4 linked regions of the Anolis sagrei genome follow. The protein of the gene in region 1 purifies or fractionates together with the protein of each later gene. This does not show direct contact. Links are inferred from orthologs where the notes say so. Each region holds a gene or a part of one and is shown in the gene's direction. Other genes may lie near its edges.

Region 1 (8,026 bases):
ATGACTTATGTGTATTCCTTTTTCCGCAAATAGAAATTTCAGCATCCGTCGACAAAGAGTCTTCACCGAGGGGAATTCATCTGGAATCTGGCCAACGTCCCTCTCCTGAAGCGGTACATTCGCGCCTTGGGTCAGAGCAGTTACCTAGACGTGGTGAAGCAGGTGATAGAGCAATTTGACGCCAAAATCGTGCCAAAATTAAGCTCCTTTCGGCCTTGTAAGTGGTTTTAAGCACTTTGATACAATTATTGGTATATCTGGAGAGGATATATTCCTGTCCAGAACAAGCTTCTGGTCCGAAAATACCAAAGTGTGCATCTATACTGTAAAATTAATGCAGTTTCATACCACTTTAACTGCCATGGCTCAATGCTATGACATCACTGGAGATGGGAGTTTGACAAAGTCTTTACTTGGTGCCTCCCTAGACTTCCTGGAATCCATAGCACGGAGCTATAGCAGTCCAAGCCTTGTCAAATTGCATTCATTCCATAATGGAGATCAGGCCTGGGCAAACTTCGGCCCTCCCGGTGTTTTGGACTTCAACTCCCACAATTCCTAACAGCCGGTAGGAATGTTAACACCGGGAAGGCTGAAGTTTGCCTGCACCTGGTGTAGATGCATCCAAAAATATATCCAAGCAATAATAATCTTAAGTACTTCAAATAAAATTGGAATAAAATCTATTTTAACTGCTATTTAACTAAATTTGCATTAATAAAACTGTTTTTGTAATACAGTAAAACGGTATTACATTAAGTACAGTTTGAAAATTATTGTTGATATTCTTGTTATTATTAAAATCCTCACTCAGTCATGAAAACCACTTGGGCTATTATTATTTTTGTTGTTGTTATTATTATTATTAAATTCCCACTCAGTCATGAAAACCACTTGGGATATGATGATGATTATTAAATTCCCACTCAGTAATGTCATGAAAACCACTTGGGCAATTATTATTATTATTATTATTATTATTATTATTATCATTATTATTAAATCCCCACTCAGTCATGAAAACCACTTGGGATAGGATGATGATGGTGATTATTATTATTATTATTAAATCCCCACTCAGTAATGTCATTAAAACCACTTGGGCTATTATTATTATTATTATTATTTTTAAATCCCCAGTCATGAAAACCACTTGGGATATGATGATGATGATGATTATTATTAAATCTCCACTCAGTAATGTCGTGAAAACCACTTGGGCAATTATATTATTATTATTATTATTATTATTATTATTAAATCCCCACTCAGTAATGTCATGAAAACCACTTGGGATATGATGATGATGATTATTATTATTAAATCCCCACTCAGTTATGAAAACCACTTGGGATATGATGATGATGATGATGATTATTATTATTACATTCTCAGTAATGTCATGAAAACCACTTGGGCAATTATTATTATTATTATTATTATTAAATCCCCAATCATGAAACCACTTGGGATATTATGATGATAATGATTAAGATTATTATGATTATGATTATTATTAAATCCCCACTCAGTAATGTCATTAAAACCACTTGGGCAATCATTATTGTTATTATTAGTATTAAATCCCCACTCAGTCATGAAAGTCAACTTGGGATATGATGATGATGATGATTATTAAATCCTCACTCAGTAATATCATGAAAACCACTTGGGCAATTATTATTATTATTATTATTATTATTATTATTATTATTAAATCCCCACTCAGTCATGAAAACCACTTGGGATATGATGATGATGATGATGATGATGATGATTATTATTATTATTATTAAATCCTCATGACCCCAAGTGGTCATGAAAACCACTTGGGCAATTATTATAGATAAATATAATAAATATAATAATATATTCCTATCAGTCACGAAAACCACTTGAGCACTTCATTGCAACTCTAAAGCAATCCCAAACCACCTTTATCGACCTCTACTTTTGCAAATCAATGAATTTTCTACCTGGGTTTTCCTTCTCGTTCCTTTAGGCATCAATCACGGTGACCTCAACGACCACAATATTTTAATAGAAGCCGATTCCTCTTCCCCTGGAAAGCCAAGATACAGAGTGTCGGGGATTTTGGACTTCTGCGACATGAGTTATGGCTATTTCGTCTTCGAAGTGGCCATCGCCATCATGTACATGATGATCGAAAGCCAGGATCCCATCCGCGTGGGAGGCCACGTCTTGGCCGGATTCGAGAGCGTGGTGCCTTTGACCCCGGAGGAACGGGCCGCCCTTTTCCTGCTGGTCAGCGGGAGATTCGTCCAGTCCCTTGTGATGGCGGCCCACACCAGTCTCCAGCACCCTGAGAATAAGGACTATTTGATGATCACGGCCAAGACGGGGTGGAAGCACCTGATGACTCTCTCTGAGATGGGCCAAGAGGCCGTTGAGAAGATCTGGTTTGAGACCGCAAAGGCTTACGATACCTGAATTGACTTTCACAAGCCTGTAGTTGCGGACCTGATTTGCAATAAATTTCCTGGGCATTCTTGGGATTGTAATCTATGGCCATGAATGAATGAAAACATCACACAGACCTAGAAACTTGGGAAGTGTTCGACGTGGGATCCAATACAAAAGCCAACAGTGTTCTTGTTTGCTGTGTACTAATCCTGTTGTGTAAATAATAAAGAATTATTATTATTATTATTATTATTATTGGGTTCTTGTAGGTTTTTTCGGGCTATATGGCCATGGTCTAGAGGCATTCTCTCCTGACGTTTCGCCTGCATCTATGGCAAGCATCCTCAGAGGTAGTGAGGTCTGTTGGAACTAGGAAAATGGGTTTATATATCTGTGGAATGACCAGGGTGGGACAAAGGACTCTTGTCTGCTGGAGCTAGGTGTGAATGTTTCAACTGATCACCTTGATTAGCATTTGATGGCCTGGCAGTGCCTGGAGCAAACTTTTGTTGAGAAGTGACATAACTACAAATTTTTAAACATAAAATTAATTAGAATTAAAATGTGTAAATATAAACATTGAAATGGTATTAAAACATAGGATTAGAAAGAGTGAAAATAAATTAAAATACACAAATACATGGAATCTATGAAACTATATAACTACAAATTATTAAACATAAAATTAATTAGAATTGACTCCATTAAGGATAAGAACACAGAAAAGCTTTTTTTTTTTTACTTCACCACTGCTGCAAGAATAGTGGTAGCTAGAATATGGAAATCCAAGGAGGCACCAACTGTGGAGCAATGGTTACTGAAAATATGGGATATTATGAATATGGACATCCTCACCCATAAAATCTCGCAGAGCATAGCAAAACCCCCTAGGACTAACTGGGAGGGCTTTCTGTATTGCATAAAAGGGCTATATAATGAGATATATATTAGTACTATACATTAATGAAACTTGAAGGTAAAGTAATAGGAAACTGGCGATTACACCATTACTAATATAGATAACAGAAAAGAAAAGGGGATTAAAGTATAGTTTACTCCCCGGTGCCTGACCAGCAAAACCTGGAAGTATTTTAAAATTTACTCGGGGAATAATTGTTGGTGTTGGTAAGTGTTGTTATTGATTAATCATTGTATTGTATTCAGTCGTATGTCTGTTTATTCGTTCGTATGTTTGTTTGTATTGTCTCTTTGCACTAATACATTTCTCTTCTATCAGCTCCTCTAAGAGCAATATCTTCTAAATAAACATATTCCAAAAAAATTTAATTAGAATTAAAATGTGTAAATATAAACATTGAAATGGTATTAAAATATAGGATTAAAAAGAGAGAAAATAATTTAAAATACACAAATACATAGATTATATGAAACTACATTACAAATATTAAGCATAAAATTAATTAAAATTAAAATGTGTAAATATAAACATTGAAATGGGATAAAAACACAGGATTAAAAAGAGTGAAAATAAATTAAAATACACAAATACATGGAATCTGAAACTACATAACTACAAATTATTAAGCACAAAATTTAAATGTCTAAATATAAACATTGAAATGGGATTAAAATATAGGATTAAAAAGAGAGAAAATAAATTAAAATATATAAATATATGGAATATTTGAAACTACATAACTACACATTATTAAGCATAAAATTAATTATAATTAAAATGTGCAAATATAAACATTGAAATGGGATTAAAACACAGGATTAAAAAGAGAGAAAATAAATTAAAATACATAAATACATGGAATCTATGAAACTACATAACTACAAATTATTAAGCATAAAATTAATTAAAATTAAAATGTGTAAATATAAATATTGAAATGGGATCAAAACACAAGATTAGAAAGAGTGAAAATAAATTAAAATACATGGAATCTATGAAACTGCAGAAATACATGGGATCCAGCCTACTGCAGCTTTGATTCCTTGCTGGCAAGATCTGATGCACTTTAGATGGGAAGGATGATCTCAAATGCCCACACTCATCATGGCGTTTCTGGCGACACGGAAGTCCGGTCTGAAGTAACGTAGCGGGCCAATGGGAACTTCCGAGGAACGAACGCTCTGTCCGAAGCCACGCCCCCTCTCTATAGTTAGCGCAGTGCGCTTGCGCGGGGAGTGGCGGCCATTTTGGATACCGGCTGAGGCGGAACTGAGGGTAAGTGTTACTTCTGAGGGAGGGAAAGGGGGCTTTTGGGGCCTAGTCGGCCTTTCTTGCGAGGCAGCCTGAGCCCGGGACCTTCGAGGATCTTCCGTGTCCCTGTTCGTGCCTCTTCAGCCCTTCTCTGTCTTCTCCGTCGGGCGAGGAGGATTCTTGGGGCGAGGATGACTCGGCAAGGCTGTCACTCTCTGGAAAAGGCCTGGGCCAAATGAGGCCTTATTTAGTTATTTCTCGTGTCAGGGCAACCAGTCAATTGTATTACATTTCTAACAGAACAAAACAAACAAACAGGCAGACAAAACACAAAGACAAAACCCTGACTTGGCCACGGTAGTCCACGCACTGGTTACATCCCGTATAGATTACTGCAACGCTCTCTACGTGGGGTTGCCTTTGAAGACGGCTCGGAAGCTACAAATGGTCCAACGATCGGCAGCCAGGATGCTAACAGGAGCGGCACTCAGGGAGCATACAACTCCTCTGTTGCGCCAGCTCCACTGGCTGCCAATTTGCTACCGGGCACAATTCAAAGTGCTGGCTTTAGCTTTTAAAGCCCTAAACGGTTCTGGCCCGACCTATCTGTCCGAACGCATCACCCCCTATGAACCAGTTAGGACATTAAGCACGGCTGACGGGGACGAGAGACAAGGCCTTCTCAGTGGTGGCCCCTTAGCTGTGGAACGCCCTTTCCGCAGACGTTAGATCGGCCCCCTCCCTGCTGGCGTTCAGGAGAAGAGTGAAGACCTGGCTCTTTGAACAGGCATTCAATTAAGTAGTGCAATCAATTGACTGAGTTTGGAACTTGGAATTTGGAACTTGGAATAATGGACGAGGAGATCGGATTATGACTTTACTGATGAGACGTGTTGGATTTGTTGTTGTTGTTCATTCGTTCAGTCGTCTCCGACTCTTCGTGACCTCATGGACCAGCCCACGCCAGAGCTCCCTGTTGGCCGTTACCACCCCCAGCTCCTTCAAGGTCAGTCCAGTCACTTCAAGGATGCCATCCATCCATCTTGCTCTTGGTCGGCCCCTCTTCCTTTTGTCTTCCACTTTCCCCAGCATCATTGTCTTCTCTAGGCTTTGCTGTCTCCTCATGATGTGGCCAAAGTACTTCAACTTTGTCTCTAGTATCCTTCCTTCCAGTGAGCAGTGAGTTGGATTAGTTATATGGATGTATTGATGTCATGTTGATTTACTGATGTGTCGTTGTATTGTTTTAGTTGCTTTAGTTATTGTTTAAATGTTAATGCTAATGCTTTGCACTTTGTATATTGACCTGTTGTAAACCGCACTGAGTCGCCTACGGGCTGAGATAGTGCGGTATACAAATAAAGTAAGTAAGTAAATAAATAAATAAAGTTTGCAAGCTTGGTAGTTGATTAGATGTTCTTTGACCAGTATCTGGCCACTTGGAGTGCCTCTGGTGTTGCCGCAAGAAGGTCCTCCATTGTGCATGTGGCAGGGCTCAGGGTGCATTGCAGCAGGTGGCCAGTGGTTCTGAGAGTGGTCCCGCATTTCCTTGTTCTCAAATAATATGCTGACACCTCCCAACAAAGGATTCCTTCAGGCAGGAGTCAGGCAGGCCTTGAAGCTACAAGGCTTGGCAATGCTAATCAAGGTGGCCAATTGCAACATTTACACTCCCTTCCAACAGACAAGAGTTCTTTCTCCCACTCTGGACATCATTCCACAGATATATAAACCCAATTTCCCTAGTTTCCAACAGACCTCACAACTTCTGAGGATGCCTGAAATAGATGGGGGTTATTTATTTACCGTGTCATCAGCAAACAGACAGTTGTATTACATTTTTAACAAAAACAAATAAACAAACAGACAAAACACAGAGTTTGCAAGCTTGGTAGTTGATTAAATGTCCTTTGACCAGTATCTGGCCACTTGGAGTGCCTCTGGTGTCGCCGCAAGGAGGTCCTCCATTGTGCATGTGGCTGGGCTCAGGTTGCATTGCAGCAGGTGGTCAGTGGTTTGCTCTTCTCCACACACGCGTGTCGTGGATTCCACTTTGTAGACCCATTTCTTGAGGTTGGCTCTGCATCTCGTGGTGCCAGAACGCAGTCTGTTCAGCGCCTTCCAACTCGCCCAGTCTTCTGTGTGCCCAGGAGGGAGTCTCTCAATGGGTATTAGCCATTGGGTTTGAGCCTGCCATTTTTGGACTCTCGCTTGCTGAGGTGTTCCAGCAAGTGTCTCTGTAGATCTAAGAAAACTATTTCTTGATTTAATTTGTTGACGTGCTGGCTGATACCCAAACAAGGGATGAGCTGGAGATGTCATTGACTTGGTCCTTTCACTATTGGCTGCTACTTCCCAGCGGATGTCAGGTGGTGCAATACCGGCTAAACAGTGTAGTTTCTCCAGTGGTGTAGGGCGCAGACACCCCGTGATAATGTGGCATGTCTCATTAAGAGCCACATCCACTGTTTTAGCGTGGTGAGATGTGTTCCACACTGGGCATGCATACTCCGCAGCAGAGTAGCACAGCGCAAGGGCAGATGCCTTCACTGTGTCTGGTTGTGATCCCCAGGTTATGCCAGTCAGCTTTCGTATTATATTATTTCTAGCACCCACTTTTTGCTTGATGTTTAAGCAGTGCTTCTTGTAGGTCAGAGCACGGTCCAGATTACTCCCAGGGATTTGGGTGTGTTGCAATGCTCCAGTGGGATTCCTTCCCAGGTAATCCTCAGAGCTCAGGATGCTTGTCCGTTCAAAGTGGTCTTTACAGAAGACATCTTCACATGCATCACACTTCAGAGGTAGAAAGTCCAATTGTTTACAAGTCTTCTCAGAGCAATGTTCACCCAGGTTTGGGAATTCAGTTACTAGGAAGTCGTCTCCTTCTCAACAAGACTGTCACCACCCATAGATGCAGGCGAAACATCAGGAGAGAATGCCTCTAGAACATGGCCATATAGCCCGAAAAAAACCTACAGCAACCAAATAATAAGCATTATAAGCTTCATTTGTATCTCGCCTCCTCTCCCCAAAGGGACTTGGGACAACCTACAGCAAAACAAATCAGTACAGTATTTAATTACTATTTATTTACTGTATTTGTATGCCGCCCCTCTCTCTCTTACTTACTTACTTAGGCGATCCCTCGTAGTCCGAGGATGATGGTCGTCCAAGAGTAGTGTCCTGGCGTTGTTTCCGTAGGTGCCCTCGGAGCTTTATTCTTGACTTGCATCTTCTCCCGCAGTGAGGGCATCGGTTTCCAGGTAGAAGGCGGTCCCGGTTGGGTTTGGCTAGACACGCCATCTTCTTGGCACATTTCTCTCTTTCGCCCTCCATTCGTGCCTCTTCAAATTCTGCAGCACTGCTGGTCACAGCTGACCGCCAACTGGAGCTCTCAACAGGCAGGGCTTCCCAGTTCTCGGTGTCTATGCC
Region 2 (7,832 bases), on another chromosome or scaffold:
AAATGAGATCTTTACCACAACAATACATTCCTTTATGTTATATAGCCTAAACATAAGAGATGATGTCAATAATGTACGTGTGGCGATGGTGTCCTGTCTATATCCTATACCTACAAGGATGACTTTGAAATGTAAATGTTTCATATCCTGATCGACAAACTCAAACATTTAGTAAATAAATATATTCAGTGACAATCCTGATTTTTTTTTCAACACACTGCTGCTAAACAGGAACTTTATACTTTTCTTTCAAAAATAAAATAGAACGGGATAAACTTTTTAAAAAGTTAAGTTCCTGTGTAGTGGCACTGTCCAGAAGAAAAAAATGTATGAAATTATCAGCACTAAACCAAACTAACATATGACTATTTATTACTTATAGCTATACATTGTTGCAAACATAACAGGATACAAGATAACAGGATACAAGATGTGAATGCAGAATGGTACAATGACAGTTGGAATGGCCTTGGATTTTGATATTGAATTACGTGATTTTAATAACTGGATTTTAATGTTTGATACGTTTTTAGCAGTTTTTAATGTATATATTTATTTGCTCGATGTATGTTGTGTAGCATTGAATTGTGCCTTATATGTTAGGCGCTCTGAATCCCCTTTGGAGTGAGAAGGGTGGGATATAAATATAGCAAATAAATAAATAAATACACAAATAGCAAAATGAATGGCAAAAGTGTAAAAAACATTTCTTTTAAAAATACCAGTACATGTAAAAATGATACAAAATTATCCCTTCTCCATTCAACAAAACTTCTTTTAAAAGGCCCCATTTGCTGGGGTTAGGAACACAGGGCCCCTGTAAAAGTGAAAAACCACTGTTGTATTGGAGATACAACAAAGTACCATACAATGAACGCCTATGTCCTGTGAGGACGAGACAGTGGAAACTGTGAAGCACGTTTTGTTGTACTGCTCTTTTTACCGTGACCTTCGTAAACATTTTATAAATCCAATTCTAGAAAGTCTACCAGGGAGATCTGCAAGATTTTATACAGATTATCTCCTGTCTGACTAACACCCCAAGGTCACTGTCAGGATTGCTAGCTTCTGTGCAGCAGCTATGGCTTGTTGCCCCAAGATGCTGACACAGACTTAGAAAGTTTTAACATATATTTTATCATTCATATCTTAGTATTTGAATGTTTAACACCACTTTAATTACCATATTCAATATTGGGTTTTAAACTCTGTTTTAACATTGCTTCCTGATACCCGGATGTGTGTGTAACCTGATGCTTGTATACTTCTGTACTTGTGCTTGTACATGTGTGCGTACTCTGACACTTGCACACCCTGTCACTTGTACCTTTTTTATGCTGGTCATTGGCCGTAATAAATGTATATATATATATAACCACAAATAAAGCATTGCTTTTTTTTTAACCTGAGAGAATTCTTTTCTAGGAATGGCCAAATCTGCTGAAAACTGACCATAGAATTGCACTGAAGGATTGTTGTTGTTCATTCATTCAGTCGTCTCCGACTCTTCGTGACCTCATGGACCAGCCCACGCCAGAGCTCCCTGTCGGCCGTCACCACCCCCAGCTCCTTCAAGGTCAGTCCAGTCACTTCAAGGATGCCATCCATCCATCTTGCCCTTGGTTGGCCCCTCTTCCTTCCTGAAGGATATAATAATAATAATAATAATAATAATAATAATAATAGAAATCTCTGGGGCCCTATCTACGCTGCCATATAATGCAGATTGAAATGTTATATGGGCAGTGTTAACCCATATAACACAGTTAAAACTGACCATATGATGCAGTTTCAAACTGCATTATAAGGTAGTGTAGATGAGGCCCCTGTCTTCCAGCATGACTGGAAGTAATTGACCATAAAGTCACAATGGAGGAACTCGAGATTCTTAGAAAAACAAATCCATGAATAATCAAATTTGCAAATGTGGAAATGATTGTAATGTCAACTGTCATTCAGATTCTATTTGGTGCTATTGCAAAAGTTGTAGCATGGTAGGATCCTTGGCCCTTCTCCTCAGATAACATATAGAATACTATAACAGATCACTATATAAAATATAAAATAACAGCAGAGGAGATGCTCTTTAAAATAGGGATCTAATGGACAACACATTAAACTTTCTATAGAAACTTTCTATAGAAACTTTCTATAGAGCTTTTAAAGATGGCAATCAAATTATATGTCAAACTTCTCCATGCTTAAATTATCCATCTCTTCAATCCTTTTTCATGGGGCTTGGTTTCTAGACCTTTTACCATGAGGTCACGGAGAGTCAGAAGCATCTGAACAAATAAACAACAAATTAAATGTAAATGAAAAGTTCTCATGAGATATGATGAGTCTCCACACATTTTATTACAATTTATGTATGTATCTCTTATACATGGTTGGTTTAACCTCTGGGTTGTTAGTAGAACTGAATAACTGTGTCACAAAATGATGCATGTCTAAAAAGGTGTGCCACCAACGTGAAATGTTTAGAAAGCTCTGCTCTAAAGCTGCAAATGCTGCCAGAACCAGATAAAGTGTACCCAAGGATATCAAACGAACAAATAAATAATTATTTTCAGAGCATTTTTCTACCATCTTTGCAGAACTGAGGCAGACAAATATTTTTAGCATAAAAGCGAGGAGGGAGGAGGATCTGGTGAGCAACCCTCATCCATGTAATTCCAAGACCAGAAAAGACTCCAAAAGAAGTCATTAAATTGTCAAATTGTGAGTGCTTTCTCCTCGCAAACACCTGGCCCTTCCTTCTACTCTGACAATCCTTTTTGGCATTGTCGGTGGTGACCTTACAGAAGAAACAAGAGGCATGTCTTAAGTTGCTCATAAAACGTTCCAGTCCATGGGTGCTCATAAAGCCTTCTTAAGGCGCTTATATGAAATCATAAAAGGACAGGGCACCAATCCATAATATCACATTGCACATGATCATTATTACATTTGCGCATTTCCTACATGCCTTTTAAAGATAAATAAAATTGAGACATTTCTGAATTAGGAATTCCCAAACCATGTACTGGGTTAGTGAAAACGCTTGAGCACAGGCTGAAATTCTTTATATGGTAGCTGATTTTGACTTTTTTATTGTGTCTGAAGTGAATTGAGAATACAGTTGAAATGTATAAAAAAATACAAATAAAGTTAAAAACTTGGCATTATACTGTATTTTCTTTGACCAGAAGCTGGCCGCTTTTGAGTGCCTCTGATGTTGCTGTAAGGGGTTCCTCCATTGTGCATGTTGCAGGGCTCAGACTGCATTGTAGTAAATCTGTGGTTTGCTCTTTTCCACACTCACATGTCATGGACTCCACTTTGTGGCCCCATTTCTTAAGGTTGGCTCTGTATCTCGTGGTGCCAGAGCACAGTCTGTTCAGCACCTTCCAAGTAACCCAGTCTTCTATGTGCCCATATTTCTCATTTGGTATCAGCCACTGATTGAGGCTCCAGGTTTTAGCCTGCCATTTTGGGACTTTCGCTTGCTGAGGTGTTCCTGGGAATATCCCTGTAGATCTTAGGAAGCTATTTCTTCCTGCACCTGTACCTTGAGACACCTGACTTGGCCAATGGTAGTCCACACCTCAGTCACATCCCATTCGGACTACTGCAACACTCTCTTTGTGGGGCTGCCTTTGAAGATAGTTTGGAAGCTTCAGCTGGTCCAGAAATTGGCAGCCAGGTTACTACTTGGAGCATCGTTCAGGGAGAAACCAACTCCCATGCTGTGGCAGCTCAATTGCCTGCTGGTTTTCTTCTGGGCTTTTTGTGTGTGTGTGTGTGTCAGGAGCGACTTGAGAAAATGCATTCATTGATGTGCTGGCTTATATCCAAACAGGGGATGAGCTGGAGATGTCACTGCTTTGGTCCCTTCACTATTGATTGCTACTTCCCGGCGGATGTCAGGTGGGTGAGGTGAGGTGCCAACATTTGGCAGGGAAGATTAAAGACCTTGGAACTCTTCAATTCCATTTTTTTTGTCGTGTCAGGAGCGACCTGAGAAACTGCAAGTCACTTCTGGTGTGAGAGAATTGGCCGTCTTCAAGGACATTGCCCAGAGGATGCCCAGATGATTTTGATGTTTTATCATCTTTGTGGGAGGCTTCTCTCATGTCCCTGCATGAGGAGCTGGAGCTGATAGTGGGAGCTCATCCGCCTCTCCCTGGATTTGAACCTGCGACCTGTCGGTCTTCAGTCCTGCCGGCACAGGGTTTTAACCCACTGCGCCACCGGGGGCTCCTTCAATTCCAATGGCAGTCACAGTGATGTCGGACTGCATGGATTTCACAGTCAATGACATGAAGTAGGAAAAGAAAGAAAAGAAAGGAGATTCAATCTGAACATGAGGAAGAATTTCCTGACTGTGAGAGCTGTTCAGCAGTGGAACTCTCTGCCCAGGAGCTTCTTTGGAAGCTTTTAAACAGAGGCTGGATGGCCATCTGTCAGGGGTGCTTTGAATGCAATATTCCTGCTTCTTGGCAGAAGGGGGCTGGACTGGGTGGCCCATGAGGTCTCTTCCAACTCTTTGATTCTAAGAGCTCTAAAACTTTTGCAGCAAAGCTCTGCTCTCCACCCCTCCACCCTCCTTCCCTTTTTCAGATCAGGGTCCCCCAAGTGCGCAGGCGCACGACGCCTCCAAGCCCCGCCCCCCTGCCTCTCGCGCGCACAGAAGGAGAAAGCGGGCTCTTCGTTTTCTTTTGCCCGAATCCTTGTCACGTGATACTCTCACTCACTCACTCTCTCTCTCTCTCCCTATGCGCGCGGGAGGGGCGTGCTTACGTCACCGCGCCTCTTCCCATCGCTCCTCGCAGCCGGAAGGAAGTCCTTGGTGCCTAGTGACTGTGCAAAGATGGTAAGCGGAGGGGCTGGAAGAGGGGTGAGAGTGAGTCCACATAAATACACCTGTGAGGGGAGGGGGCCTGCAAAGGAGGTGGGTGGGGTGAAGCCCCAATCGAGGGAAATGTGGGCATTCCGCCGGAGATGGTTTCTTTTTCGCCCCGGAGACATGGCCGGTCCTGGTTCGCCTCCAGTGGTTCTCAACCTGGGGTCCCCAGATATTTTTGGCCTACAATTCCCAGAAATCCCAGCCAGTTTAGCAGCTGTTAGGATTTCTAGAAGTTGAAGGCCAAAAACATCTGGGGACCCCAGGTTGAGAACCACTGGGTGGAGCATCCCTTCTTCGAAATGCTCGGGCCCACAAGTGTTTGGGATTTGAGGGTTTTTAAAATGAATTTTGGAAGGTTCTCAAATATAGTCATGAGATATCTCTGAGGTACAGTGAGGTCGCCGTCTAAATGAGAATTTATTTATTTACCACATTTATATACCGCCTTTCTCAGCCCGACGATGACTCCAGGCGGTTTACAGTCGGCAATCAATGCCCCCAACAACATAAAATATAATTAAAAACATTAACATATAACATAAGCCATATAAAAACAGTAGAAACAATAAAAACAATAACAATAATTAAACAATTAATTTTTTTTTGTCGCGTCAGGAGTGATTCCTGGTGTGAGAGAATTGGCCGTCTGCAAGGACATTGCCCAGGGGACGCCTGGATGATTTTTGATGTTTTTATCATCCTTGTGGGAGGCTTCCCTCATGCCCCCGCATGAGGAGCTGGAGCTGATAGAGGGAGCTCATCCGCCTCTCCCCGGATTCGAACCTGCGACCTGTCGGTCTTCAGTCCTGCCGGCACCCAGGTTTAACCCACTGTGCCACCAGGGGCTCCATAAACAATTAAATAAACATTTAAACAATTAAATTAATTGCTTCAAACAATTAAATTAAACAATTAAACAATAACAAGAATTAATGCATTTCCAACCTCACTTTAACTGCCATGGCTCCAAGATATCGAACCATGGGAGTTGTAGTTTTATAAGCTTTCCAGCCTTTTCTGCCAAAAAAAGTATTGGCGCCTCAGCAGACTACAAATCCCAGGATTCCGTGGCATTGAGCTCTGACAATTAAAGTGGTACCAAACTGCATTCATTCCACAGTGTAGGTCAGGCATGGGCCAACTTGAGCCCTCCAGGTGTTTTGGACTTCAACTTCCACAATTCCTAACAATCCCAGCCCCCTTCCTTTTCCCCCTCAGGCCCCATTCTTTTCCTTTTATGATATGCAGGATGGACACAGCATATTATTCGAGAACACAGAAATGCTGGATCACTCGAACAATCACCATGTCAGACTACACAGAGAAACCATTGAAATCCACAAGCATGTGGATTTCAACAGAAAGGAGGAAACCATGAAAAGGAACAAAATCTGGCTACCAGTATTAAAAAAAACTCTAAAATTAGAACAGCACAACAACAGAGAGGAAACAAACAAGGACATCTAATCACCTCTCAACAAAAGATTGCTCCAGGCACTGCCAGGCAATCAAATGCTAATCAAGGTGGTCAGTTGAAACATTCACACCTAGCTCCAGCAGACAAGAGTCCTTTGTCTCACCCTGGTCATTCCACAGATATATAAACCCTTTTTCCTAGTTCTAACAGACCTCACTACCTCTGAGGATGCTTGCCATAGATGCAGGTGAAACGTCAGGAGAAATGCCTCTAGAACATGGCCATGTAGCCCGAAAAAACATACAACAACCCTATGCAGGATGTGTTTTCATTCACTGGATCACTTAAGTGGCTGAGGGGGAAATGGAAAGGGCCTGAGGCTGTTAGGAATCGTGGAAATTGAAGTCTAAACCACCTGGAGGGAGGGTCCAAGTTGGCCCAGGCCTGATCTTAAGTGGCTGAGGGGGAAAAGGAAGGGGCCTGAGGCTGTTAGGAATTGTGGGAGTTGAAGTCCAAAACACCTGGAGGGCCCAAGTTGGCCCACGCCTGGTGTAGCAGCACCCTGAGAATGGGACACATGTCTAAACGAGACATCTATTTGAAACAAGAAGGAAAATCAATTGCTTCCAATGTAGAGGCTGGGGAAGGAGGAAGGTAAGGTTTCAAATAATAACAATAAACTTTATTTGTATCCCGCCCTATGGCCCCAATGGGGACTTACGGCTGTTCACAACATAAAATGACAGTATTCAAATGCCGTGTAATACAACTAATCAATAAATATGACATGACATAAATTTAAAATGACATAGTAAATCTTAACGTAAGCAATAACAAGACATTACCACCTAATTAAACAAAAACTAACAATACAATGTAACTCAACTAATACAAGACAAAAAGTTCTCAAATTGATAAAAATGTTAAAAGACGTTATAAATTCAAAAGGATATAAACCCAAAGGAGCAGTCATTTCCATGTTCTGAGCTCATTTATAATGCTGAATATTTAATTTGTCCTTCTCCTTATGTGCTTGCAAACATAATGATAAAAGTAAAGGTTTCCCTTGACATTAAGTGTAGTCATGTCTGACTCTGGGGGTGGTGTTCATCTCCATTTCTAAGCTGAAGAGCCAGCATTGTCTGTAGACGCCTCCAAGGTCATGTGGCTGGCATGACTGCATGAAGCACTGTTACCTTCACACTGAAGTGGTACTTATTGATCTACTCACATTTACATGTTTTCGAACTGCTAGGTTGGCAGAAACTGGGGCTAACAGTGTGAGCTCACCCTGCTTCCCAGATTCAAACTGCCGACCTTTCGGTCAGCAAGTTCATAGCTCAGCCATTTAACCTGCTGTGCCACTGGAGGCAGAAACGTTATTGATTGTTTTACTACACTTAGCTTAAAGATGACCTTAGACACGTTTTAAAATTTTTGAGAATGAAATGAAGTGTGTGTACATTAAACCATGTGAAAGCAAAGGCGTCACTTACTATCCCAGATCACCCCTATGGATAATTTCCG
Region 3 (7,665 bases), on another chromosome or scaffold:
CATTATCAAGGAAAGATCCATATTTACAGGCGTCGTATTTTGGGGAAAACATGTTCACCACTATTGATGTCTTCATTTTGAAAAAAACTTCTAAAAGATTTCCATAAAGAATCCACTTGGAAAGTTCCATACTTGGAAAAAAAAAAACCCAAGGAACCCCCCCCCCCCCCACACACACACACAGACACATTATTCTTAGGCAGTAATCTAATCTCCAAAGACATAGAGTTCCAGCTTCTTGTCGTGCTTCACTTAAACTATTTATGCCTGACAAAAAGCTGAAGCAAACCCAAAGCTGCTGCCTCAAGCGTTTAAGGAAATGCAGCATAAACAGTTTTTAAATAAACCAGGCTGTCACTGCAAACTTTGTCCCCATGTTGGACTCACGTGCATGGGATGGTTGCTACAAGCATCTAAAGACTAATGTTTTCCTTGAATCCCTGGCCTCATCTACACTGACCACTTAAGTCAGTTTCAAGACGGTATAGAAGAAAGCAATTTCATTGTGCAATGATTACATATGAAATCCTGGAATCAGCTTGAGGACCAGGTGATTATACAAACCACCAAATCTGGCCTTGAACCGGTTTCAGGATCCATGGTTTGACAGCCCCTAAGAATGATTTTTTAAAAGAAAAAAATCCCCAACCAGAATGCACATCTTCACATCAGCAGAGTGCTTTGGGTGCCTGCACAGTGATTCACATTCTGCAGAGCCAATTTTGCTTTGAAATGGAGTTTATACTGGAATACCGTAATGCACATTAAGGGCTTTCTTTTGGACTTTCCCCTGACTTAGTTTATGTTGGTTTAAAGTCCTTAAAGCACGCTACAGCATGCTTTATCAGCATGCATTTTCTAAACGCCAGAGTTTGAAGCTAGCTAGCAACTGAATCAAATATAGATGGGGCCCCTGTCTGTTTTACAGTCTCTAAAAACTAGTCATGGGGGAGAAGATAAAATCTGATCATGCCTTTTAAATGTGCACCAAATGTCTTAGCAAAAAATAAATGGCACTCTATCAAAAATGTTGCAGCATGTTGTAGTATATTCATCTGTGCAATCATGCAATGGTGAAGTGTGTAGGTGCGTGCATACATGTGTGTGCATATATGTGTGTGAAGTTTGTTTCAAAAAGGTACCAACTCCAACTGGACATATTTTACAGGAATTTAAAAAAACATGCTGAGGATATGCAATAAAATGCAATTTTCCAAGCCCAAGCCCTATACTGAAGTGAATTGATACATGTTGACAGTTTGATCTGTATTCTACTCACAGCCAACAATGTGCTGCCACATAGAAAACTCTCTCTCTCTCTCTCTCTCTCTCTCTCTCTATATATATATATATAATTTTGCTGTATCCTCATGTTTGCAAGCTGCAATATTATTGATAAGATATTATTTATTTATTTATTTGCAGTATTTATATTCCGCCCTTCACACCCCAAAGGGGACTCAAGGTGGATTACAATGCACATATACATGCAAACATTCAATGCCATTTAGACATGCAACATATATAGACATAGAGGCAATTTAACATTTCAGCGTTTCCAGCTTCATGAGGGTATGCTTGTTTCCGGTCACAGGGGGAGCTGCCACTTCACTGTCTACTTGTGACACCGGGTCCTTTGATGAAGTACTTCCCAATTCTTCTGCATGCTGCAGGAAGGTTTTATGGCGTCGTTAAATTAGCCTCCCCACAAAAAGCGGTACTTAAATCTCCTACTTGACAGATGCAACTGTCTTTCAGGCTTCATAGGTTGACAGCAAGCTAGACTATTAATGGTTGGGAGCTTACTCTGACCCGGGCTGTCTTTGAACTCAGAACCTCTCAGTCAGTAGTAATTTTATGCAGCTAACTAACTAGCTGCGCCACAGCCAGGTCCATATTCTATGTTACTTTGTGATGTACACTGAGATGTATTTGTAACACATAGATAGATAGTAGGCTTGGTTGCTCCAAAAAAAAAAAAAAAGATTCAAAACTCCTTTTGGATATAGGGGGTGCTGGTGGTTTGATTCTAAAGTCACTTCCAAATTTTTCCAAAAGAAAGTCAGAACTTTCCGAAACTTCCGTCTTTAGGCTCTGGGACTAGCTTTACTGGCTTGTGCCAATCTTTGCAGTTCGATCTTTAAATCATCGTATCATGTCAGCATTTCCAGTTGTTTATTATTATTTGGAACACAACGTGTCCACAGCAAACAAGATCACTCTGCTGGCTGTTGTATTGGATCACACATCGGACACACATCGGACACTTTGCAAGTGTCTAGAACTGTGTGATGTATTGGTGAATAATGCGTGCATATCCCAGTAGGGTGGCCTTTTGCAACTGACAGATGGTAATTTTGTTAGCGCGGATTGTACTTAAGTGCAGGCCAAGGTCTTTAGGCACTGCACCCAATGTGCCAATCACCACTGGGACCACCTTTACTGGCTTGCGCCAGAGTCTTTACTGGCTTGCGCCAGAGTCTAAATCCTCATATTGTGGATTTAGAAACAGCTTTTCAAGTTGTTTCTCTTCAATCCTGCTGTCGCCTGGGATTGCAACATCAACTATCCATACTTGGTTTTAACACAAATGTGAGGTCAAGAGTATTGTGCTCCAAAACTCTGTCTGTCTGAATTTGGAAGTCCCAGAGTAGTTTGACGTGTTCATTTTCTGTAACTTTTTCAGGCTTGTGATCCCACTAGTTCTTTGTCACAGGCAGATCATAGAATCATAGAATCAAAGAGTTGGAAGAGACCTCATGGGCCATCCAGTCCAACCCCCTGCCAAGAAGCAGGAATATTGCATTCAAATCACCCTTGACAGATGGCCATCCAGCCTCTGCTTAAAAGCCTCCAAAGAAGGAGCCTCCACCACACTCCGGGGCAGAGAGTTCCACTGCTGAATGGCTCTCACAGTCAGGAAGTTCTTCCTCATGTTCAGATGGAATCTCCTCTCTTGTAGTTTGAAGCCATTGTTCCGCGTCCTAGTCTCCAGGGAAGCAGGAAACAAGCTTGCTCCCTCCTCCCTGTGGCTTCTTCTCACATATTTATACATGGCTATCATATCCCCTCTCAGCCTTCTCTTCTTCAGGCTAAACATGCCCAGCTCCTTAAGCCGCTCCTCATAGGGCTTGTTCTCCAGACCTTTTATCATTTTAGTCGCTCTCCTCTGGACACATTCCAGCTTGTCAATATCTCTCTTGAATTGTGGTGCCCAGAACTGGACACAATATTCCAGATGTGGTCTAACCAAAACAGAATAGAGCGGTAGCATGACTTCCCTGGATCTAGGCGCTATGCTCCTATTGATGCAGGCCAAAATCCCATTGGCTTTTTTTGCCGCCACATCACATTGTTGGCTCATGTTTAACTTGTTGTCCACGAGGACTCCAAGATCTTTTTCACACGTAGTGCTCTCGAGCCAGGCATCCTCCATTCTGTATCTTTGCATTTCGTTTTTCCTGCCAAAGTGGAGTATCTTGCATTTGTCACTGTTGAACTTCATTTTGTTAGTTTTGGCCCATTTCTCTAATCTGTCAAGATCGTTTTGAATCCTGCTCCTGTCCTCTGGAGTATTGGCTATCCCTCCCAATTTGGTGTCGTCTGCAAACTTGATGAGGAAGAACTTCCTGACTGTGAGAGCCGTTCAGCAGTGGAACTCTCTGCCCTGGAGTGTAGTGGAGGCTCCTTCTTTGGAAGCTTTTAAACAGAGGCTGGATGGCCATCTGTCAGGGGTGATTTGAATGCAACATTCCTACCTCTTGGCAGGAGGTTGGACTGGATGGCCCATGAGGTCTCTTCCAACTCTATGATTCTATGAAAGGACATTTAACCAACTACCAAGCTTGCAAACTTTGTGTTTTGTTTGTTTGTTAAAAAATGCAATGCAACTGTTTGGTCTGCCCCTGACGCGATAAATAAATACCCAATAATAATAATAATAATAATAATAATAATGCCACCCCATCCCCTTCCTTTTGTGGGTGTCCCTACGAAAATAACATGCCACCCAAGGCCAGATTAGTTTACTAGAGGGGGGAAAAACAGATAGGGAGGAAAATCCCAAGAAGGAATGGTTGGGCCTTGTTTTGTCTTTCTTCTCAAGGGGCAAAGATTGAGACAAGGGGGGGGGGGCAGTTGGGGTGGCTTCTCCTGAGTCACATAACAAGCCGTGGAGAAGAGAAGTACTTTCCCTGGTGTGGAAAAAAAAGCACCAAGTTTCCGAGGGAATTCCTCTCTGGCTGGCTGGGCTGGGAAATTCCCGCCGCCAGGCTCCTCCCCGCCGAGAAATCCCCTTCCAGGCGAGGCGCTATAGGCCCGAGCCAGCCCCGCCCGCCCGCCTTTCTCTCTCGCTTCTCCTCCTTCAGGCACATTTCTCTCCTCTCCTCCTCGACATGCTCAGCCCTGCTGTGGATCTCTTCGCCATGGAGGCCCCGAAGAAGGAGCGCCAGCTGGACCAGGACCGCCATGACAGCGGCCTGGACTCTATGAAGGATGAGGAGTATGAAGATCTGGTTCGGGAGCTGGAAGGCATCCGTTTGCAGCCGGTTCTCCCCGACGTGGCGGCTCCTCAGGCGGCTTGGAAGCAGCAAGTGACCGAAGATGGAGACACGTAAGTCCTCAGGGAAGAAAGGAAGGGGTTTCTGCAAAGTTGGGCCTTGGAGGTGTTTTGGACTACAACTCCCAGCATGCCTCACGGCCTCAGGCCCTTTCCTTTTGCCCCTCCGCCGTTTAAGCGGCGGAGGGGCAAAAGGAAAGGGCCTGAGGCCGTGAGGCATGCTGGGAGTTGTAGTCCAAAAACCTCCAAGGCCCAAGTTGGCCCATACCTGATCTACTTTGCCCAAACTTGAGTTCCCCACTTTCTGTTCATTCTTTCCTTCCTCCTCCTTTGTTTTTTCCCCTTTCCTCCTCCAGTTACATAAAAATCCTGGGGAATTTTTTTCTTTTTGCAAGGCTGGGTTTTTCCAGCCTTCCATTCTTCCTTTTGGGCGGGGCTTCAGGGAGGGGTGGGCGTGGCTTATTGTCCTCGAGGCGCCCGCCTGGAAAGTCCCTGGCCGCGCGCCAGGGACACCGCGCTCTCTCACACTGCTTCCTCCTCTCCTTTCGGAAAACACCCGGATGCACGCTCAGGCGCATGCGCGAGCCTTGGAAACTCCAAGCTTTCAACATCTGGTCCTGACATGTGGGATGTCTATGTGCTTCCTTTCCTTTGACAAAGCTGATCTCAGGGATTATTTTAAAAACACTTAGGGAATTTGGGTATGTGGTATGTTTGGGGAGGTTTTACTTATTTTTCTCTATTTTACCTATTTTCCTATTTTCACTCTTTTATTATTATTCTGAAATTGTTGCTAATAAAAATGATTTTTTTTTAAAATTAATGTTTTTTTTCTCTCTTTCTGTACATTTGCAGATTTCTCCATCTGGCAATTATTCACGAGGAAAAGTCCCTGAGTTTGGAAATCATTCGCCAAGCGGAACGAGACACGGCTTTCCTGAATTTCCAGAATAACCTCAATCAGGTACTTTAAGAGAGTTGGAAGAGATGTTGTGGGCCATCCAATCCAACCCCATGGGAAATCGCATTCGAAGCACCCCCGACAGATGGCCATCCAGCCTCTGCTTAAAAGCCTCCCAAAGAAGGAACCTCCACCACACTCCAGGGCAGAGAGTTCCACCGCTGAACAGCTTTCATAGTCAGGAAGTCTTTCCTCATGTTCAAGTGGAATCTCCTTTCTTGTAGTTTGAAGTCATTGTTCCGCGGGCAGGAGAAAACAAGGCTGCTCCCTATGATTTCCCCTTCACATATTTATACATGACCCTCAATATGTCTCCTCTCAGCCTTCTCTTCTGTAGGCTAAATATTCCCCGCTCTTAAGCCACTCCTCATAGGGCTAGTTCTCCAGACCCTTGATCATTTTAGTCCCCCTCCTCTGGACGCCTTCCAGCTTGTCCCCATCTCCCTTCAATTGGGGTGCCCAAAATTGGACACAATATTCCAGATGTGGTCTGACCAAGGCAGAATAGAGGGTCAGGAAAGAATGCTTCTGTAACATGGCCATACAGGCTGGAAACCTCACAGCAAACCAGATCTTGAACTGTTATCCCCAAAGTAAACAAACAAAAAAAAAGAATTGGTAGTAGGGGACATCATCCATTAAGTTGCCCATTTGGATTCATCTACACCAGGCACCCTCCAGCTGTTTGGACCTCCAACATGCAGTAGCCCTATCCGGCTTGTTCAATGGTCAGGGTCCCCAGATGTTTTTGGCCTTCAAGTCCTAACAGCTTGTAAAGTGGCTGGGATTTCTGGGAGTTGTAGGCCATAAATATCTGGGGACTACAGGTTGAGAATCACTGCCCTAGGCTCGTGGGAAGAGCCCGCTATTCAGAGACGAATCCCAGACACTTGGGGCCCTTCCAGGCAGGCCCTATATCCTAGGATCCGATCCCAGGTTTTTTGCTTTAAACTGGATTATATGACTCCTCACCAAATAATCTGTGATAAACAGAAAACCTGGGATCAGATCCTTGGATATAGGGCCTGGCTGGAAGGGACCTCAGACTTCAACTTGGGGATGGTTCATTACAAAATTAATGCAGCTTGATACCACTTTAATTGCTGTAGCTCAGTGCTATGGAATTGTGGGAGTTGCAGTTTTGCAAGGTCTTTGCAAACAATCATGCATATCTAACCACTTCCTCATTAGAAATGGTGCTTGAAGTGAGGGTTTGAAGTCTAGTAGAATTCCTTTGCTTATCAGGCCATTCTTTGCCCTTGCAGACTCCACTCCACTTGGCTGTGATCACGGACCAGCCAGAGATCGCGGAGACTCTCCTGAAAGTCGGATGTGACCCAGAGATCAGAGATTTCCGAGGAAACACTCCTCTGCACATTGCTTGTGAGCGGGGCTCTCTCAGCAGCGTCGGTGTCCTCACACAGTATTGTCAGAAGCAAGTCTGCTCCCTCCTACAGTCATCCAACTACAATGGTAAGCTCATATCTGATATACCACTGACGTCAACTTGCCCAGTCATTGCACACTTCGACCTCTGGCATCATAGTTTTGCCCAATGAATAAGTGACTTTCTTGGCTAGCTCTCAATAAAGATTACTGGGGCAAGTGTCACGTAGTTAAGAGAAGGCATGCAGGGTTTTTCCCCCTGATCCATTCATAGCAAGTTTTCCCAGGCGTTTTGGAGTACAGCTTCTACAGCAAGCATGGGCAAACCAGCTGTTAGGAATTGTGGGAGTTGAAGTCCAAAACACCCAGAGAGCCAAAGTTTGCCCACACGTATTCTGTAGTATGGTAATTTAGCTGTATAATTGAGACTTATGAAAGCTGGAAGTTCAAGGCATCTTCTTCCTCGCATTCATATACAAGTATGGATCCAATATCCATAGTTTCACTTGCCCAGGCTCCAGAAAATAGCCTCACTGTACCCCAAGGTGTTTGTGGGTCCTCCAGTTTCCAAGTATCGTCAAAACATTAGGTTCACTATTATCCACTGTTTCAGAAATCCTCAGAGGATCTTGGACATTTAGAATTACTTGTTTTTGGGGGGTAAACAGTATATTATTGTGTGTAAGTGTGTGTGTGTGTGTATGAATATGAATGAATATGAGAGAGCTTTATTTCTATCCCAACTTTCTCCCCATGGGGA
Region 4 (8,416 bases), on another chromosome or scaffold:
GGTGCTTGTTTATAAAGCTATCGTCCTCCCAACCCTGCTATATGCCTGCGAGACGTGGACAGTCTACAGACGTCACATGCAACTCCTGGAACGATTCCATCAGCGCTGCCTCCGGAAAATCCTGCAGATCTTTTGGGAAGACAGGCGGACAAACGTCAGTGTGCTGGAAGAAGCAAAGACCACCAGCATTGAAGCGATGGTCCTCCGGCATCAGCTCCGCTGGACTGGCCATGTTGTTTGGATGCCCGACCACCGTCTCCCAAAGCAGTTGCTCTACTCCGTACTCAAGAACGGAAAAGAGAATGTTGGTGGACAGGAAAAGAGATTTAAAGATGGGCTCAAAGCCAACCTTAAAAACTCTGGCATAGACACCGAGAACTTGGAAGTCCTGGCCCTTGAGCGCTCCAGCTGGAGGTCAGCTGTGACCAGCAGTGCTGCAGAATTTGAATTGGCACAAATGGAGGGCGAAAGAGAGAAATGTGCCAAGAGGAAGGCCTGTCAAGCCAACCCCGACTGAGACCGCCTTCCACCTGGAAACCAATGCCCTCACTGTGGGAGAACATGCAGATCGAGAATAGGGCTCCACAGTCACCTACGGACCCACCAGAATACTGATTCTGGAAGACCATCCTACTTGGCCAATGAGGGATCGCCTAAGTAAGTAAGTAAGTAAGTAAGTAAGGTTTAGCAACTTTCTTAGGCCCCTTCTACACTGTCCTTATATCCCAGGTTCTGATTTTAGATTATCTGTTTATCACAGATTATGTGGCAGTGAAGACTCATATAATCCAGTTCAAAGAAGAAAACCTGGGATCAATCCTGGGATATAAGGACAATGTAGAAAGGGCTGTAGGCAGCCTATAAAACTTCTACCCCAGTTTGGATTCAAAGTGTTGTTTATAGAGGTGAAATTTAATTTTTCACAACTTTTGTGGACTCTTCATCTGCCTTAGCAAAAATACCTGAGTCCAGTGGCACCTTAAAAGGCCAATACATTTGTGTTTGGCATCAGCTTTCATGGAGTGCAGCCTCTCCAATGATGTAAACAAGCAAAAATGAAATATTAATATGGTTTTTAATTTTTTGGTTGTTTAATCTCATATACTGCATTTTGTATAAATAGCAGGGCTGTTGAGGATAGGTGTGCTGGTACAGCTGTACCAGAAGCTCCCACTTTATTTGCCTTGTATTAAGTGTTTGCTTGTAGCCCAAGGCTTGGGATTCTGTAGAAGGGTGGCTTCCTGTTAAAGTTTGCAGTTATAGGGCAGGCCCCCTGTCCCTCATCGTTAAGTTTGGTTCTGCCCCCTGTTCAGGACAATTGAGAAGGGAAGGGAGCCATTTTCAGTCAGTCTCAGCTAGGTTAGCCAATGTACAGGACGTGTGTACAGACTTCTCCTGTACAAAGGCTTCAACCCTTAAGACTTCCCGGGGGAGAACAGTCTTAAGAACAAAAGGATTCCCAAAGATTTCCAGGGAAACAGCCCTAAAGCTCTGAGGAATTTTGGAGGGAAAAGCAGCTTTGAATATCTAAGAACTCCAGCTGAAGTTACTACAGGCCTACTGGTAGGCCCACTTGGTGCTTTGAGACGCATTCAACCCAGTAGTGGCGCCCACATCAGTTAGGTTTAGGTTCACAGTCAACCTGGGAGAAGTTTGGAAAGGGATTTTCCTTAGAGTAAAAGTAACAGTTAGAAGCCACCAGTTGCACAAAGGCCTGGAAGCATTTGTTTAACCTTTTGAAGACAAAGGAAGTTTCTGTTGATTGTTCACCAATAAAAGAATTTGTTATATTTCACAAACCCTCTAAAGACTGTTTGTGGTGAAAATCCTTATGAATTTCTCTTCGGACCCCCTGGCTTCCCACTGGGCTAAAGTTACACGTCCTGTTTTAAAAGCAATTTATTTCAAGCCCAGCGTGCAACAGAACAATAGGTTAACTTGGAGATCTAACATCCATAAGGTGCCCTAAGTCAAAGCCAACTTGAAATCAGCTGACAACAAAAAAAAGCACGCAGTAATGATAATTACTCTATATATTAATGTATAAGTCTAGACATTTTAGTTTAAAATCCAATGTGAATACTGTACCTGAGCTCTTATAAAAAAGGATCCCTCCTCTTCTCTGAATAGAGTGGTGAAAGGCAAGTGCTTAGTCTGTTCCAGATGGTGAAGGGGATGATGGCAAATTGCAGTATGTCCTCCACATTCGGTGGGGTTAGATTCCTAGAATGAACATATTTTATCAAATCCGTGAATAACCAAATCCTCAAAAATAATATCTGTAAACATGGAGGGAGGGCTGCTGGTTATCATATAGTTCTGTACATGGCTCTGAGTCTGCAAGACCTCAGGTGAGTTGTAGTGGAAAGGGTTTCTTGGAGATCTCTCATTTATAGGAGCACCAAAGTTGACTTAAAGGCAAAAAAAGAATGTGTGGTAATGATAAAGATGACAAACTAATTACACAACGTCAACACTGTACAGGATGTTCAACAAGAAAAAAGCGCAGTTCCCTTGCCCTCAGGCTTAACAATCTGAAGACATGACACAAGGAAAGGGCATGGCACTGTTGAGGAGCAGATGACTTGGAAGTCTCTCATTCATAAGTTAAAGTGAGCTGATGGCAACAAAGAACATGTTGTGATGATGAAGATGAAGGTGTTTGACAAGGACAAAACAGTTCCCTTGCCCTCAGGCTTAATAATTTAGAGACACCTCAGACAAGGGAAAGGAACGGCAGTGTGGGAGTGGGTCAAGCCCAGTGTTCTCCTACCTCTCAGTTTCTCCTCACAGGTGTGGGTTTGTGTGGAGATTTTACGTTTCCTCCCTATGTAGTGCCTCCTTCATATTAAGCCTGAGTGGCCCCCCTAGATGCCAAAATTATTGTACCATGGATATATCACAAGAAGCCATGTCTGACTAGAAAAGAAATTGAATCTGACACCACAATTGAAGAGAGATATTGACAAGCTGGAATGTGTCCAGAGGAGGGCGACTAAAATGATCAAGGGTCTGGAGAATAAGCCCTATGAGGAGTGGTTTAAAGAGCTGGGCATGTTTAGCCAGAAGAAGAGAAAGCTGAGAGGAGACATGTTAGCCATGTATAAATATGTGAGAGGAAGCCACAGGGAGGAGGGAGCAAGCTTGTTTTCAGCTGCTCTGGAGAATAGGACGTGGAACAATGGCTTCAAACTACAAGAAAGGATATTCCATCTGAACATTAGGAAGAACTTCCTGACTGTGAGAGCCGTTCAGCAGTGGAACTCTCTGCCCCAGAGTGTGGTGGAGGCTCCTTCTTTGGAAGCTTTTAAACAGAGGCTGGATAGCCATCTGTCAGGGGTGATTTGAATGCAATATTCCTGTTTGGCAGGGGGTTGGACTGGATGGCCCATGAGGTCTCTTCCAACTCTTTGATTCTATGATTCTAGGAGATGGTCCATGGTTTCATCAGCTTCCTTGCACAGTCTGCATTTTGGGTCATCTGCTGATTTTTCAATCCTGGCCTTAATTGCATTGGTTCTGATGGCTTGCTCCTGGGCTGCAAGAATCAGGCCGTCTGTCTCCTTCTTCGTGAGCCATAACCAGGTCTTCTCCTTGTCAACTTTTCCTTCAATTTTGTCAAGGAACTGCCCATGCAAGGCTTTGTTGTGCCAGCTGTCCGCTCTGGTTTGGAGTGCAGTTTTCTTGTACTGACTCTTTGTCTGCTGTGCTTTGGGAAGTTTCTGATTATTGACTTCAATTATTATTATCATTTGTTTTTGGATTTGTTGTTCATTCGTTCAGTTGTCTCCGACTCTTTGTGACCTCATGGACTAGCCCACGCCAGAGCTCCCTGTCGGCTGTCACCACCTTCAAGGTCGGTCCAGTCACTTCAAGGATGCCATCCATCCATCTTGCCCTTGGTCGGCCCCTCTTCCTTTTACCTTCCACTTTCCCCAGCAAAATTGTCTTCTCTAGGCTTTGCTGTCTCCTCATGATGTGGCCAAAGTACTTCAACTTTGTCTCTAATATCCTTCCCTCCAGTGAGCAGTCGGGCTTTATTTCCTGGAGGATGGACTGGTTGGATCTTCTCGCAGTCCAAGGCACTCTCAGCACTTTCCTCCAACACCACAGCTCAAAAGCATCGATCTTCCTTTGCTCAGCCTTCCCTAAGGTCCAGCTCTCACATCCGTAGGTTACTACAGGGAATACCATGGCTTTGACTAGGCGGATCTTTGTTGCCAGTCTGATGTCTCTACTCTGTACTATTTTATCGAGACTGGACATTGCTCTCCTCCCAAGAAGTAAGCGTCTTCTGATTTCCTGGCCACAGTCTGCATCTGCAGTCATCTTTGCACCTAGAAATACAAAGTCTGTCACGGCCTCCACGGTTTCTCCCTCTATTTTTGGATACTCTGCTATATTTTCGGGTAGTTTCCCCTAACATCTGCAAAGGCGTTTAGAGTGGTTTGTAGGTTTTCTTCTGTATGAGCACAGAGTGTGTTATCATCAGCATATTGGCGTTCTTGTACAGGCAACAGTGATGGAATCGTTCTAGGAGTGTGACAATGTAGACAGTCCATATTTGCAGGCGTTTCACAGCATTGGGAGGACAATGGCTTTATGGGCCGACTTGGGCCCTCCCTCCAAATGTTTTGGAGCCTCAGGCCCCTTCCTTCCTTTCCCCCCTCAGCCTCTTAAGCTTCCCTCAGGCGGGAGAGGAGAGGCTGTAATCCAAAGGCACCTCAGGCAAGGCATGGCCGTGTGGGCGTGTCCTCCAGTTCCCCCCTCCACTTCCTCCTCCCCCCTCCCCTCCCCTCCCCTCCCTCACCGGAAGTGACCTGTGCCCCTCCCGCCCCCTCCAGCGCGAGGCCGGCGGTCGTTGGTTCGCTGCTTCCGTGGCTTCCTTCGTCACCAGGCGCCGCTGTGACAGGAGCCGAGCCGGCCAGAAGGCAGGCAGGCAGGCAGGCGCCTCCTCCTCCTCGTCGTCCTCCTCGTCGCCCTCCACCGCCGTCGCCCCGCAGCCATGGCCGGCCTCGGGAGCGGGCCCCGGCCTCCCGGAGCGGCCTGGCAGAAGGAGCTGGTCTACAACAAGCTGCTGCCCTACGGAGAGCGCCTGGAGGCCGAGGCCGGCCTGCTGTTGGCGCAAATCAAGCTCAGCCTCGGGCGGGCCGTACAGCTGCAGGAGCTCTGGCCAGGGGGACTCTTCTGGACCAGGAAGCTCTCCACGTGAGTGGCAGAAGGACACCCCCACCCCACACCCCACCCAAAGTGGCCCTGGGGTGAGCTAGGAGGGCAGGGGGAGGCGGGGTGGAGCCCTGAAGAGGGTTGAGTGTCCCTTTGGAACACTCCAGAACTCCCCCCCCCCTTCTCTCCATCCCAAAGGGTAGAGGATAGGCGTGTGAGAAGCCCCCTGCTCTCCTTCCCTCCATCCCAAAGGAAGTGTGTGAGTGGCCCTGGGGTGGCCTAGGAGGGCAGGTGGAGGCAGGATGGAGCCCTAAAGAGGGTTGAGTGTTCCTTTGACAGACTGCAGAACCTTCCCCCCTTCCCTCCATCCCAAAGGGTTGAGGATAGGCGTGTGAGTGGCCCTGGGGTGGGTTAGGAGGGCAGGGGGAGGTGGGATGAAGCCCTAAAGAGGGTTGAGTGACCCTTTGAGAGATTCCAGAACTCCCCCCCCCCCTTCTCTCCATTCCAAAGGGTTGAGGATAGGTGTGTGAGTGGCCCTGGGGTAGGCTAGAAGGGCAGGTGTAGACAGGCTGAAGTCCTAAAGAGGGTTGAGTGTCCCTTTGAGAGACTCCAGAAGCCCCCCACTCTCCTTCCCTCCATCCCAAAGGAGGTGTGTGAGTGGCCCTGGGGTGGGCTAGGAGGGCAAGGGGAGGCGGGATGGAGCCCTAAAGAGGGTTGAGTTTCCCTTTGAGAGACTCCAGAACTCCCCCCCCCTTCTCTCCATCCCAAAGGGTAGGGGATAGGCGTGTGAGAAGCCCCCCACTCTCCTTCCCTCCATCCCAAAGGAGGCGTGTGAGTGGCCCTGGGGTAGGCTAAAAGGGCAGGTGTAGACAGGATGAAGACCTAAAGAGGGTTGAGTGTCCCTTTGAGAGATTCCAGAAGCCCCCCACTCTCCAAAGGAGGCGTGTGATTGGCCCTGGGGTAGGCTAGAAGGGCAGGTGGAGGTGGGATGAAGCCTTAAAGAGGGTTGAGTGACCCTTTGAGAGATTCCAGAAGCCCCCCACCCCCTTCTCTCCATCCCAAAAGGTTGGGGATGGGTGTGTGAGTGGCCCTGTTTTAGGCTAGAAGGGCAGGTGGAGGCAGGATGAAGCCCTAAAGAGGGTTGAATGTCCTTTTTAAAGACTCCAGAAGCCCCCCACCTCCATCCAAAGGAGGCGTGAGAGTGGCCCTGGGGTAGGCTAGAAGGGCAGGTAGAGGCAGGATGAAGCCCTAAAGAGGGTTGAGTGTCCCTTTGAGAGACTCCAGAACTCCCCCCCTTCCCTCCATCCCAAAGGTCAAGGATAGGCATGTGAGTGGCCCTGGGGTGGGCTAGAAGGGCAGGTGGAGGCAGGATGAAGCCCTGAAGAGAGTTAGTGTCCCTTTGAAAGACTCCAGAAGCTCCCCACTCCCTTCCTTCCATCCCAAAGGGTCGAGGATAGGTGTGTGAGTGGTACTGGGGTGGGCTGGAAGGGCAGGTGGAGGCGGGATGAAGCCCTGAAGAGGTTTGAGTGTCCCTTTGAGAGACTCCAGATGCCCCCTACGCTCCTTCCCTCCATCCCAAAAAGTTGAGGATAGGTGTGTGAGTGGCCCTGGGGTGGGCTCGAAGGCCAGGTGGAGGCAGAACGAAGGCCTATATAGGGTCACGTGTTCATTTGAAAGACTCAAGAAGCCCACCCAGCCTTCCTCTATTCAAAAGGACTGGGGGTAGGTGTGTTAGTTGGCTGGAAGGGCATTGTCCATACTTGCTAAAGACGGTTCCTTTGAAAGACTCCCAAAATTGGAAGAAATCTTGAAAGTGGAAAGGTTTGTTTTGAGAAAGGTTCCAGAAGCCCACACTCTCCCTTCCTCCATCCATCCATCCATCCATCCATCCATCCAAAAGGGTTGAGGATAGGCATGTTACTGACCCTGAAGGGCAGGTGGAGGCAGGATGAAGCCCTAAAGAGGGTTACTTTGAAAGACTCCTGAAATTGGATAAAGTCTTAAAAGGGGGAAGGTTTGCTTGGGAAGGGCTCCAGAAGCCCCTCCCCTCTCCCTCGATCCAAAAGGGTCCAGGATAGGCATGTGAGTGGCCCATGGATGGGCTAGGAGGGCAGGTGGAGAGACTCCAGAAGCCCCTCCCTCCAAAAGAGTTGAGGATAGGTGTGATAGTGGTCTGGAAGGGCACTGGCCATGCCTGCTAAAGAGGAGGAAAGATTTTGTGGCAGGATAAAGAAGGCTGGGACAAGGTCAAGCCTTACAAGGGGAATTTTTATTTTTTAAAAGCTCCAGAACCCACCTTTCCAAAAAGTTGGAGGGTGATCTTGTGGGTGGCTGTGGGGTGAGGAGAAGTTAGGGCAGGATTTAGTCCTCAGAGGAGCATGGTCTCCTTTCAAAACCCCCCTCCAAAAGGGGGGCATTTTGTTAGTTGGGGGGGGGGGGTGAGCTGGAAAGGGTTTACGATGAGTGAAAAAAGTTTAGGCAGGATGACACCTGCTTTCCATTTAAGGACTTCAGGACACCATCCAAATGATTGATGGTAGTAAGATAACCCCCCCCCCCCCCTTGAGCTTAGTTAGGGGAGCCCCCAGTGGCACAATGAGATAAACCCTTGTGCCAGCAGGACTCAAGATCAACAGGTTGGAGGCTCGAATCCGGGAAGAGCTCGGATGTGCTCCCTCTGTCATCTCCAGCTCCCCATGCGGGGACATGAGAGAAGCCTCCCACAAGGATGGTAAAACATCAAACATCCGGGTGTCCCTTGAGCAACATCCTTGCAGTCAGCCAATTATCTCACAGGAGAAGTGACTTGCAGTTTTTTAAGTCACTCCTGACACACACAAAAAGCTTAGTTGGGGATATTTATCATTCTCAATGGAGGGTCATGTTTGATGTCCTGGTTTAGTTTTTGTTATCATTGTCCCCCTTCCCAGGCTTTTCTTCTAGAGAGTTTCCTAGTTTTCTTGTGTCTGGGGACAATTTCTTCCCACTTCTCCCTCCTGGTCCCACTCCTCATGTTTGGAACTATATTTGTTACTGATAAGATGGGTGATACACCCTTCATAATTCAGTGTCTTAGAGTGTACTGTAAGTGTATTGTTATTAAGGTGTCCCTAATTAGTAAAACATATTAAGTAAAAGCTGGTAAAAAACCTCGAGCATGTTTGCTAGGGAATAAACTTCTCTTATTATTTGTGCTCCCAGGGACATGTGTTTAGAATAGTAGGCAAAAAGTCCTATGGCAATCCATTGT

The links.
Region 2: the proteins of PSMA4 (region 1) and POMP fractionate together in Homo sapiens (co-fractionation; 4 studies listed by BioGRID and IntAct, with this or other methods). This does not show direct contact. The link is inferred for Anolis sagrei from reciprocal best matches to the Homo sapiens genes PSMA4 and POMP.
Region 3: the proteins of PSMA4 (region 1) and NFKBIA purify together in Homo sapiens (affinity purification with western blotting; 3 studies listed by BioGRID and IntAct, with this or other methods). This does not show direct contact. The link is inferred for Anolis sagrei from reciprocal best matches to the Homo sapiens genes PSMA4 and NFKBIA.
Region 4: the proteins of PSMA4 (region 1) and PSME4 purify together in Homo sapiens (affinity purification with mass spectrometry; 4 studies listed by BioGRID and IntAct, with this or other methods). This does not show direct contact. The link is inferred for Anolis sagrei from reciprocal best matches to the Homo sapiens genes PSMA4 and PSME4.

The regions. Positions count from the first base shown.
Region 1 is NC_090029.1:11,847,759-11,855,784, reverse strand, and holds the start of PSMA4 (proteasome subunit alpha type-4), read left to right. Parts: upstream 1-4,530; 5' UTR 4,531-4,618; intron 4,619-8,026. Other genes in the region: HYKK (hydroxylysine kinase), read left to right, coding at 34-217, 2,003-2,451. UniProt on the Homo sapiens protein: Component of the 20S core proteasome complex involved in the proteolytic degradation of most intracellular proteins. This complex plays numerous essential roles within the cell by associating with different regulatory particles.
Region 2 is NC_090023.1:31,782,158-31,789,989, forward strand, and holds the start of POMP (proteasome maturation protein), read left to right. Parts: upstream 1-4,745; 5' UTR 4,746-4,852; coding exon 4,853-4,855; intron 4,856-7,832. UniProt on the Homo sapiens protein: Molecular chaperone essential for the assembly of standard proteasomes and immunoproteasomes. Degraded after completion of proteasome maturation. Mediates the association of 20S preproteasome with the endoplasmic reticulum.
Region 3 is NC_090021.1:301,262,201-301,269,865, reverse strand, and holds the start of NFKBIA (NF-kappa-B inhibitor alpha), read left to right. Parts: upstream 1-4,303; 5' UTR 4,304-4,394; coding exon 4,395-4,612; intron 4,613-5,413; coding exon 5,414-5,522; intron 5,523-6,784; coding exon 6,785-6,992; intron 6,993-7,665. UniProt on the Homo sapiens protein: Inhibits the activity of dimeric NF-kappa-B/REL complexes by trapping REL (RELA/p65 and NFKB1/p50) dimers in the cytoplasm by masking their nuclear localization signals.
Region 4 is NC_090021.1:17,252,234-17,260,649, forward strand, and holds the start of PSME4 (proteasome activator complex subunit 4), read left to right. Parts: upstream 1-4,841; 5' UTR 4,842-5,005; coding exon 5,006-5,208; intron 5,209-8,416. UniProt on the Homo sapiens protein: Associated component of the proteasome that specifically recognizes acetylated histones and promotes ATP- and ubiquitin-independent degradation of core histones during spermatogenesis and DNA damage response.